3 linked regions of the Mus musculus genome follow. The protein of the gene in region 3 binds, or shares a complex with, the protein of the main gene of each other region. Links are inferred from orthologs where the notes say so. Each region holds a gene or a part of one and is shown on either strand. Other genes may lie near its edges.

The links. Proteins that work in one complex are often made in the same cells at the same time.
Region 1: Mks1 (region 3) and Tmem237 share a complex: the UniProt entries of both Homo sapiens proteins name them as parts of the tectonic-like complex. The link is inferred for Mus musculus from reciprocal best matches to the Homo sapiens genes MKS1 and TMEM237.
Region 2: Mks1 (region 3) and Tmem231 share a complex: the UniProt entries of both Homo sapiens proteins name them as parts of the tectonic-like complex. The link is inferred for Mus musculus from reciprocal best matches to the Homo sapiens genes MKS1 and TMEM231.

What each region holds. Positions count from the first base shown.
Region 1 is NC_000067.6:59,106,291-59,109,807, reverse strand, and holds part of Tmem237 (transmembrane protein 237), read left to right. Parts: intron 1-611; coding exon 612-769; intron 770-1,009; coding exon 1,010-1,133; intron 1,134-1,578; coding exon 1,579-1,770; intron 1,771-2,280; coding exon 2,281-2,354; intron 2,355-3,173; coding exon 3,174-3,264; intron 3,265-3,517. UniProt on the Homo sapiens protein: Component of the transition zone in primary cilia. Required for ciliogenesis.
Region 2 is NC_000074.6:111,916,798-111,920,314, forward strand, and holds part of Tmem231 (transmembrane protein 231), read right to left. Parts: intron 2,160-3,517; coding exon 2,031-2,159; intron 1,638-2,030; coding exon 1,494-1,637; intron 1-1,493. UniProt on the Homo sapiens protein: Transmembrane component of the tectonic-like complex, a complex localized at the transition zone of primary cilia and acting as a barrier that prevents diffusion of transmembrane proteins between the cilia and plasma membranes.
Region 3 is NC_000077.6:87,851,776-87,856,015, forward strand, and holds the start of Mks1 (Meckel syndrome type 1 protein homolog), read left to right. Parts: upstream 1-1,439; 5' UTR 1,440-1,474; coding exon 1,475-1,554; intron 1,555-1,961; coding exon 1,962-2,071; intron 2,072-3,202; coding exon 3,203-3,273; intron 3,274-3,696; coding exon 3,697-3,852; intron 3,853-4,240. UniProt on the Homo sapiens protein: Component of the tectonic-like complex, a complex localized at the transition zone of primary cilia and acting as a barrier that prevents diffusion of transmembrane proteins between the cilia and plasma membranes.

The DNA.
Region 1 (3,517 bases), on a different chromosome or scaffold from region 3:
GAAGAGAAAGGAAAAGAATAGTGTATGGAAATAGCCCAAGGACTCGTCTCTAAGAAAGTGTTAGCAAGGAGAATATTTTCATATAAGTTGCAAAACCTGAGATAAAGATTAATGTTTAAACATAAGCTACTGTGATTTGTTTCTTTATGTTAATGGATTTGAAATATTTTGAAATAACTTTAACCATTGTGTTTTAATATAGGAAAATAACTATATTATATAGTTACATACATTTTATATATATATATATATGTTGTAAATAATAACATATATCATATAAAATACAACAGCATACTTAAAAATATGCTGGAAGTTACATAACAGTAATGTTTGTACCTAAAAATGACTACAAAGAATAACCAATCACATTTAGTAGAATTTTATAACTGGAAGTCAGGAGAAATCCAGCCCGGTCAGTGCCCCTTCTCTCAGTGAGGAAACTGCAGTGCACAAGCGTGTGTGCAGCTAGTAACAAATCTAGTTGAGTAAACGGCATATTTCTTTCACTCCAAGTTCAGGACTCTTTCCATTATATTCGTGGGTAATTTCTTATGTGGCTCTTTAGAAATCCAAGAATGATCTATTGTTTCAACAATTTTCTCTGATTTCAGGAAAACCCAGCCAGCTGAGCCACAGTATGCTAGCGAGCTAGGGGTGGAAGATGAAGACATACTCACAGATGAGCAGAGCACTCTAGAACATCACTCTAGGTTCACGGCACCCACCGGAGTTAGCCAGCCTGTTGGCAAAGTATTTGTGGAAAAAAGCCGTAAGTAACTCCTTGTTTTGGAATACAATTGCTCTAAATATTGTATAGGGATATCTTTAACCTGGTGATGATAGTTCTGATGACCTGAGTGAAGGAAATAATAAAGTAATGTAGAGGAAAATTGACACACAAAACTAGTCATTATGCTATTGTTTTTTTTCCCAACTGGATTTTATTTGTTTTAAAATACATTTTTAAATAAATAAGTCCCATTAGTGACTGTGTTCTCTGTGCTCCCAGGGAGGTTTCAGGCGGCGGACCGTTCCGAGTTGATAAAGACCACAGAAAACATAGATGTGTCAATGGACGTGAAGCCATCTTGGACTACCCGAGATGTGGCACTTTCTGTGCACCGAGCTTTCAGGTGGCTGCCTTTTGTTGGTGTTCGTTAAGCAGATGTTAATTGGATATCATCATTTAAAACCAAAGAAAAAAGCCTTGGTTGTTCTGTACTTTGTAAACAGTTTGACAATTTAAAATGGTATGTAGATTTAGTTTTGTAGACATTCCACTTGTGCTTCTCATAATATGTTAAATTGTATTATATTTGAGGAGATTTTAAAAATACCTTAGCCTTTTATTTTAGTGGCTAATATATAATTAAACTTTTCTCCTTCTTATCTTTGAGTACTTTTCATAATTTATTTATTGACTTTACATACCAATCACAGCACCGCTTCCTCCTGTCCACCCCGTCCTGCCCATATGTCCCTCTCCTGATTACCTGCTCCCTCTCTCCTCAGAGAAGAGTAAGTTCCCACCCCACCCTGGGACCTCCATTCCCACAGTAATTAAACTCTTCTGTGCAGGATGGTCGGTCTGTTCTCTCATGGCTTCTTGGCTGGCTGTGCTGTGTGGAATACTGTTGTGATCTACGTTCTTGCAGGAGATCAGCTGTCTAATGTCTCCAACCTTCTGCAGCAGTACAAGCCCTTGGCTTATCCCTTCCAGAGCCTTCTTTACTTGCTTTTGGCTCTAAGTACAGTTTCAGCATTTGATAGGTAAGGCTGTTGTGAATGTGGGGCCTTCTAACCTTCCTTTAGGAAGAAATAGTGAGCAATATATGTCACTATGACTTTTCAAGGTAGAATGTTTGTTTTTTAAACCAGTCTTTGGATTAGCATGGCCTTATCTTCATTTCAAAGTATCCATAGAGATCTCATTTCCAAATAAAGTCACCTTCATAAGGACTAAGGTTAGACCATCACCACTTATTTTGGGAAACACATAGGTCAACCCATTTTAAAAAATATCAGCAGGACTGGGGAGATGGCTCCATGGGTAAAGATGCCTGCTCTCATGCCTGCTGTCCTCAGTTTGCTACTACCTAGGACCCATATTGTGGTAGGAGACAACCAACTCCTACCTCCACATGTGCACCAAAGCTCATAACTCAAGGTGTGTGTGTGTGTGTGTGTGTGTGGCGGTAGGTAGACTAGAGAAGGGAACACCACCGAGGGAAGTACATTGTGTTACAGCTGCACAGTGACAAAGCTTTCATCTCATTCTAGGACTGACTTTGCTAAAATATCAGTAGCAATCCGGAACTTTTTGGCCCTGGAACCAACAGCTTTAGCTTCTTTTCGTGAGTAATAGTTACTGTGATAACTATGTTATAATTGAGGAGCAATTCTGTCACTTTGAATCAAGAAAAATATTGTATAGAAGGTTTATATTATTTCTTCATATAAACCATTAGATCAATGAATTTGTAATTTAAAATGTGGTAGGAGTAATTTTTTTAGAACTATTCTTTTGTTTTTGTTTTTGAGGTAGGATCTGTTACATAGCTCAGGCTGGCCTTGAACTTTGTGTGTGGTTGAGAATAGCCTTGAACTTCTCATTCTGTTTGCTCTCCTTTAAATGCTGGGATTTGTAACCACCCAGTGCCGTGCCTGGCTTGCAAGTGTTTCTTATTTGAAGATCATCCAAATGACTTTCAGAAGTTGAATGTATATGTGAGATGCTGGGTTTAATGTTCTGCACCAAAAGTAATAAGTAATGTTAAATGTGTGGCCTTCATTACTTATTCAGCTTCTGTGTTTTCCACTTGGTAGACACAGCTGGCATGGCCTTTTAGTAATGAATACCATTTTATATATTTCTGGCATTCTACAGTACATTTTTTGTAGGTTACAAGATTCTATTAAAGCGAGTTTGAGGACCTTGAACAAGTAATTTAAATTCTTAAAATCCTTTTAGGCTCTTTCTTGCCAGTTCCAATGATAAAATTGTACTCACCTATTACACTCTGCACCGTATTATCTACATAATAAAAGCTGCCTAGTGGCATTAAATGTATTTCTTTTGTATAATCATTCACCAAAGTGTGGCTTATTTTGGTCTTAAAATTCAATATAAACAGCAGTCAAATTTATTAGTAATTTCACTTCTTCCCCCTCAGTGTATTTTACTGCTCTAATACTATCTCTGAGTCAGCAAATGACAAGTGACAGAATCCACCTTTACGAACCTTCTGTCAATGGAAGCCTCTGGTAAGAATCTACAGTAATATGCTAACAGCAGCAGTGGGGGAGGAGGAGGGCAATGATACCATTCCACATTTTCATCTGTAGATCATAACAAGGCTATGTTTCTGTTTATAATAAACCATGAGAAGAAAACACCTGTTCTGTTGGTTAATGGATAATGACCTTTTTATATTTTTACTTTTGTTTTTCTTGACATGTAGTTTCAAGTAGCCAAACCTCCTTATGTAGGTGAGGCTGGCTTTGAACTCCTGATCAT
Region 2 (3,517 bases), on a different chromosome or scaffold from region 3:
TCACTCTCCTTCCTTCAGGACACAGCATGAGGAGCTCTTTATTCCCCTCCCTCCCACAGGGAGGAAACTGTGAGCAAAATAGATCTTTCCCCTTTCAGGTTATTCTGTCAGGAATGGTCACAGCAAGCAATAAACTAGCAGAAGTTGGCCTGGTGATGATGAATGCCTTTAATCCCAACAGGGCAGGTGTATCCCTGCCTGAGTCTGAGGCCAGCCTGGTCTACAGGGCAAGTTCCTGGACAGCCAGGGCTACAGTTTTAAAGAAACAAAACAAGACAAACAAACAGCGACAAAAATTAACACAGAATACATTTGGAATGTGTGTACCTGAAAGCAATAGACAGTTTGGTTCTTTAGTAAGAATGCTTCCCCTCTCTCTCCGGGTATAAACCAAGGTGTGCCTTTTTTACTTCTACAAAAAAAATTAGGGGCTAGATTGATGGTTCAGTTGTTAAAATCATGGACTGCTCTTCCAAAGGCCCTGAGTTCAATTCTCAGCAACTACGCCCTCTTCTGGGGTGTCTGAAGACAACTACAGTGTACTCATATACATAAAATAAATAAATAAACCTTTAAAAAATTATTATTTTTATCGCCGGGCGTGGTGGCGCACGCCTTTAATCCCAGCACTCGGGAGGCAGAGGCAGGCGGATTTCTGAGTTCGAGGCCAGCCTGGTCTACAGAGTGAGTTCCAGGACAGCCAGGGCTATACAGAGAAACCCTGTCTCGAAAAACCAAAAAAAAAAAAAAAAAAAAAAAATTATTATTTTTTATGTGTATGTGTGTTTTGTCTATATGTGTTTCTGTGCACCATCTGTGCACAGTGCCTGAGGAGGCCAGAAGAGGATGATGGAGCCATTGGAAGTGGAACTACAAGCAGTTGTAGGCTGCTACCTCAATGCTGGAAATCAGACCTGGGTCCTCTGGAAGAACAGCTAGTGCTCTCAACCATTGAGCCAGCCCTCCAACTCCCTTCCTACATTAAGAATTTGGGCTGGAGAGATCACTCAAAGGTTAAGAGCACTGACTGCTCTTGCAGAGGTCCTGAGTTCAATTCCCAGCAACCACATGATAGCTCACATCCATCTATAATGAGATCTGGTGCCCTCTTCTGACATGCAGATATATATGCAGAACTATATATGCTGTGTATATAATAAATAAATCTTTATAAAAAGAAAGAAAGAAAGAAAGAAAGAAAGAAAGAAAGAAAGAAAGAAAGGAAGGAAGAAAGGAAGGAAGGAAGAAAGAAAGAAAGAAAATTCATGATGGGGCTGGAGAGATGGTTTAGTGGTTTAGAGCACTGACTACTCTTCTAAGGACGTGGGCTTGGGTCCAGCACTGCACATTTATGGTGCCCAACATCCATTCAGGCAGAACACTCGTACACATAAGAAGAACTAAATGCTATATTTCTAAGCTTAAATTTCTTGTCCTTTGAAGGCTGTGATAAGCCTAGGCCTGAAGGTGCTGGACTACAAGGGCATCCTTACGTTGTATCTGATGTCCAGGCCACGGTAGCTCAGTGGCTGCTTCTGTTGCAGCCTCAGGTCGCCATTCACATATAACTGTGACCCAGGGACAGCAAAGGAGGACTGGAGAAAGGCCATGCTCTGCATCTCGAATGTTGACATCCTCTAAAATCATTAGGGAGAGAGATGATGACATTGTCAGGTCTGAAGAGCCTGGGGGTCCACAACTCACTTGTCAGCAGCTGAAGATGATAGGCCCGGCATGAGTGTGTTAGCCCACTCAGGAACTTTCTGCCCAGAAAGGCCTATTACTTTGAATACTCAATTTGTCTATGTTAAGTTCCTAGTCACTTTCCATAGAAGAGCCATCTGCAGTGTGGCTCTCCCTAGGGAGAAGGAGGAGGAGAAGGAGAGATGACTCAGAGGTTAAGAGCACTGACTGCTCTTGCAGAGGTCCTGAGTTCAATTCCCAGCAACCACATGGTGGCTCACATCCATCTATAATGAGATCTGGTGCCCTCTTCTGACATGCAGACATATATGTGAGGACAGACTCACGTGCAGTTGGTAGGAGAAGGTCAGGATTAGCTGCACACCGAGGACATGCTCTGTGGGTTGCAGGGGAAGTTCAAGTTTAAAGTACAGCACATCCATTTTTCCATCCTGGTTCCGGTCTTCTTCTCTGGACTACAAAAGAAGAGATTTACTTTCTTAGAGAATTGTTATAGCTGGACAGTGGTGGCACACACATCTTTAATCCCAGCATTTGGGAGGCAGAGACAAGCAGATCTGAGTTCAAGGCCAGCCTGGTCTACAAAGTGAGCCAGTGCTATACAGAGAAACCCTGTCTTGGAAAACCAAAAACCAACCAACCAACCAACCAACAAACAAACAACAACAACAAAAAGAAAGAAAGAAAAGAAAAAGAAAAAGAAGGGCTAGAGAGACGTCTCAGTGGTTAAGACCACTGACTGCTCTTCTGGAGGTCCTGAGTCCAATTCCCAGCAACCACATGGTGGCTCACAACCATCTGTAATGGGATCCGATGCCCTCTTCTGGTGTGTCTGAAGAGAGCTACATTGTACTCACATACATGAAATAAATAAAAACAAACAAACAAAACCAAACACCTACATACAACCCCCCCAAAAAAACCAAACAAAATCAGTTATTTATTTTAGTTATATGTGTGGGTGGGTGGGTGGGTGGGTGGGGACTATGCAAGCCAGAAGACGCTGTTAGATGCCCTGGGGCTCAAGGTATAGGTGACTATGAGCTGCCTGAGGAAGGTGAAAACTTTGGGTCCTCTGTAAGGACAGATTTGAGCCCTGTCTCCAGCCCCTAGAGAGGAGTTTCTTTTTCCTCTCCCTCCTTGCTCTTATTCCTGTTGTTCTTTGTTTAGGGAGCTAGGGATTGGCTAGGGTCTCTTACACACTAGACTAGAGCTGACCACTGTGTGCTAGCTCCATCTCCAAGTCAGTCTGTCCAAATGGAAAGAGCAGGGCTGGAGAGCTGGCTCGGCCATTAAGAGGTCCCAGAGTTCAATTCCCAGCAACCACAAGGTGGCTCACTACCATCTGTGATGGGATCTGATGCCCTCTTCTGGCACACAGGTGTACATGCAGATGGAGCACGCACACAAAATAAATAAGTAAACCTTAAAAAAAAAAAAAATAGAAAAAACCCCCCAAAGTCTAACTCTAATCATCATGTGTTTACCAAGCAAGTGCTATTCAATCCACCAAGCTCTATTTATACATTTTGTTAAGATTTATTTTTATGTGTATAAATGTTTGCATGCACATATGTCTGTGCACTGAATGCATGCCTGCTATACACAGAGGTCAGAAGGGTTCTGGAAGAGGCCCTGAAAGTGTTGTTGCAGATGGCTGTGAGCTATCATGTGGGTGCTGGAAACTACACTCAGGTCCTCTGCAGAAGCAAGATCAGCCAGTGCTCTTAACCACTGAGCCGTTATGTGTAGCCCCTATTTGCACATCCTAAATCTCGAGTGACTTTGCTTCAGATACTTAAGGTTGGTTGGT
Region 3 (4,240 bases):
AACTTCATCCTTTAAATAGGAATAAAGTACCTCTTGGAGAGGTTTTTGGGAGGGTTACAGGCAATACAAATGAAAAATGAGTAGGTGCTATTTGTGGTGAGTTCTTAGTGCACACAATGAATAGTTAGGTGCTCATGATTTCTCTGCTCTATAATCGGATGGCCATGAAATGTCCCAGGCCAGGCAACAATTGCTTATTCGGATGAATAAGTAGCAACCGTCAAATACTAATTGTCAATATTGATATTGCCAAACTGCCGGAATTAAACTTATACCATCTTTCCTTGGATGTGCCAGTGAACCATGACTTCTGAATGTCACTCTGGTGGTTTTTCAGGGGCTGGCTCGGAGTCTTAACTGGTTAATAATCCAGAACCAACATGCCCCAGGGAAAACACCCTTTCCTTCCTTTCTGCTGGCTTCCTTGTTTTTTATTTCTCTGGCTCAGTGCATACCAACAAAACTACTAATATACCTGCCCCACAGGTTTTTTTTCTTCCAGGAATGTTTTCTTTCTTTTTTTCTTTTTCTTTCTTTCTCTTCTTCTTCTTCTTCTTCTTCTTCTTCTTCTTCTTCTTCTTCTTCTTCTTCTTCTTCTTCTTCTTCTTCTTCTTCTTCTTCTCCTCCTCCTCCTCCTCCTCCTCCTCCTCCTCCTCCTCCTCCTCCTCCTCCTCCTCCTCCTCCTCCTCCTTCTTCTTTCTCTTTTCTTTTCCTGTCTTTTCTTTTCTTTTTCCTGAGACAGGGTTTCTCTGTATAGCCCTGGCTGTCCTGGAACTCACTCTGTAGACCAGGCTGGCCTCGAACTCAGCAATCTGCCTGCCTCTGCCTCTCAAGTGCTGGGATTAAAGGCGTGCGCTACCACTGCCCGGCTGTTTTTTAATTTTTGTTTGCATGTCCTTTTAGTCATATCCACCAACTGTTTAGGCCTGAGTTTTCTCTCCTTAAATTTTTTTAAATTTATTTTATGCATAATGGTGAACATGTTTGTGCAACACATGTGTACTGTAAGGCGGCAAGGTGTCTGACCCTTTGGAACTGGAGTAGAGACAGGTGTGAGTGGCCATCTGGGCCTGCTAGTTCCTCTGAAAGTCCAGTCACTAACCTCTTAACCACTAAGCCATTTCTCCACGCCCCCTAGGCCGAAGTTTTCAAATGTTCAGTGGAAGGCAGTGTTTGATCAGAAAGTAAGGACTCAGGTCACCTGGTTCTGGCCACCATCACCATTTTTGCACCTAAACAAAGTAGCTGATGGCGGTTTTCTCTTTTGTGCAGTGCACCAACTTTCACCTTGGGTGGAGGTGAGCTTTACTCACACAGGACAGCTGAGGGTCCCGCTGCCAGGCTAGGGACTGGCTCCCGCAGACGTGGAGAGCTGCGCGCGCAGCGCCTCCCTTGCCTAAGAAGCCAGCGTCTCCGTTGCCAGGGGAACGAGGCACCACGCTTTCCGGCGCGGTCGCAGCGCGAAGCAGCTGTCATGGCGGAAGCGGTCTGGAGCACTGACACCGGCGAGGCCGTGTATCGCTCCCGGGACCCCGTGCGCAACCTGCGCCTCCGGTAGTCACTCGACCCCAGTTTCAGGGCCCCCTAACTTTATGCTCCGAGGCCCCCTAACTTTATTCCACCCTAAGCTTTTAGATGCTCAGAGGCCCCTACTTCCGCTTACAATCCCAACTACTTCCTCTGCCATCTCTGCGCGCGTCTTGTTATCAGGATCTTTTTCCACTGAAAGCTTCCAAGTACACCTTTCAGATTCACCCTGCCCAAGTCCCTTCAAGTTCTCGCCACTTTCAAACCCCTCGGGTCCCTGTGCTGATTTATCCAGCAGACGCCCCTACCCACCTCTTCTTTGCAGCAGCCTTGACTTCTCTGCCTCTGTGATTTCTTTCCCCGATTCATGCTCTGTATATCTCCTTGCTGTGTGTCTCTGACACGCGTATTTGGGGCTTCTCTTCTCTTGACAGAGTTCATCTGCAAAGAATCACATCAAGCAACTTCCTTCATTACCAGCCTGCTGCCCAGATGGGGAAGGACCTCATAGACTTGGCCACTTTTAGGCCTCCGCAAGCTGCTAGTGGGTGTTTGTGATGACGCTACATTCATTTGAGACTAAGGCAGGGGTGCGGGGCAGTAGAGGTACAGAGGAGGAACGGAAGGCTCAGAGAGGTTGAGTTTATTGCCCAGTGTCACCTAGCCGAGGAATATAGAAGCATTTGAATGAACCTGGGCAATCATCTTTTTAATTTTTTATTATTTATTTATTTTTTTACATTGTAATTTACTTTTGTGTGTGTGTGCACGCCCATGCCACAGTGCGAGAGTGAAGTTCAGGGGATAACTTTTGCGAACCAGTTCAGTTATCTCTTCACCAGATGAATCCTGGGGCTTGAGCCATCTTACCCGAGTTGTGACTTGGGGGATGGGGAAAGGACTTCTAAGAGAAATATGTTCCAAACTCCAAATGTATGTATAAATACACTTAAAAAACAATTTTAAAACAGGAGTTTGCACGAAAATATGATTTTTTCCTCTTGCCTTGAAAGCCAAAAGAAAGGACAGGACCGTCGTGTTTGGCCAATAATTTTTCATGCTTTTGTCATTGTTCTTTCTACTCAGAAATATTCTTAGGCAAAAAGGGTAGCCTGGCAGATCACAAATCATGCATCTTGTGTTTCTGGATGATTCGGTGGTGGTTTCAGAAAAACATCAGGGTCCTTATCTAGCAAATTCAGCCAGGATTGAGGAAGGGCTGGCCCTTCAGCCTCTAGCTAAACTCTAGTGCCTTATACGGGACTAGAGAATGTTTCTTGGAAGGCAGAGCTACCTTTTATTCAAATTAGAGTAATGATTAGGACACCTCAGGCCCTAATCTTGCTTCTAGTATTAACCAAAGTATGTCCACCACCTGCATTCTATGTTTAGAGTGAGCGCTTAGTGAGTCACTAAATTCCAGTGGGGTTTGCGGTCAATGTGAGTAGGGACTTTGAAGGCAGACCTGGTGGTATACACGTGTAATGTCAGCGTTTTTCTGCCGAGGCAGGAGGATCTGGAATGTGAGGTCAGACCGGGCTGCAGAATGAGACACTTCCAAACAACAATAGCAAAAAATTTTAAAACCCAAATGAGACAAGAATAGGAACACTGGTTGTAATCAACCAGAGAGGAAGAAATGTTGCTGGTCTGACTCACTCTGTTGTGTTTGGAGGTGGACACCGCCCTGACGAAGAAGAGGAGGAAGAGGTTGTAATTGGATGGCAGGAAAAGCTCTTTAGCCAGGTGAGCCAGCATTTCTTGTCTTCAGTCTACCTCCACCTACCTGACTCCCACCGGGCCAGTGACTCATACCGTCAAACTCATCTCCAGGAAAGGTTGTGGTGGCTTATACTTATGTTTATGTTATGTTTATGTGGCTATTGTAATATAACGGCTGCCATGTTCAGTTTAGCGTTCTAGGTAAGGCACTCCCCATCTCCGGGCTCTATAACATCTCTAGCAACAAGGTTGGATTAGAACATCAGCTTGGATCCTTTTAACTCGAATATTCTTAGATTTTTTTCCCCCTGCCCTTCATTTTTTGAACAAAGTGACAGTCGGTTTTCAAAACGTGTCAGCTAGCGCTAGAAGTGATTTGGTTCAGTAGCTGCAGGAACCGAAGTTTGAGGTAGTCCCAGCTGATCTGTTTCTTTGTGGTGACCTCAGTTTGAAGTCGACCTGTACCAAAATGAATCCGCGTGCCAGAGCCCACTGGATCATCAGTACCGCCAAGAGATCTTGAAACTGGAGAATTCTGGCGGCAGGAAAAACCGGCGAATCTTCACTTACACTGACTCGGATAGATACACCGACTTGGAAGAGGTATCATTCCTTCTGGGCCCTCATTGCTTTCTTGTTTGTCTCCCCTGGTTTTCTAGCCTCGCTGGCTCTAGGTTGTAAGTGGAAAGCCCAGTAAATGGGGCGATATAGAACATAGATGGTTCTAGAAGCTGCTGGAAGCTGCTGGCAGCCAGGCTGCAGTGGGCAGATGCAGGTGATGTCCTTCTGCCTGTCAGAGGGCCCATGGGACCTGATAGCATAGGAATTGATGACATAGATGGGCAGGGTCTAGAACAATCCATTTACAATTCAGTCAAAGTCAGGAGTTTATAGGCAAGAAGAGGAACATGATTAGGCTGTGGGGATACCTGTGTCTTAGCCTGTGTCCCTGAGCCCTTGTGGGCTTGTTTTACATTCTCTTCCATTACTC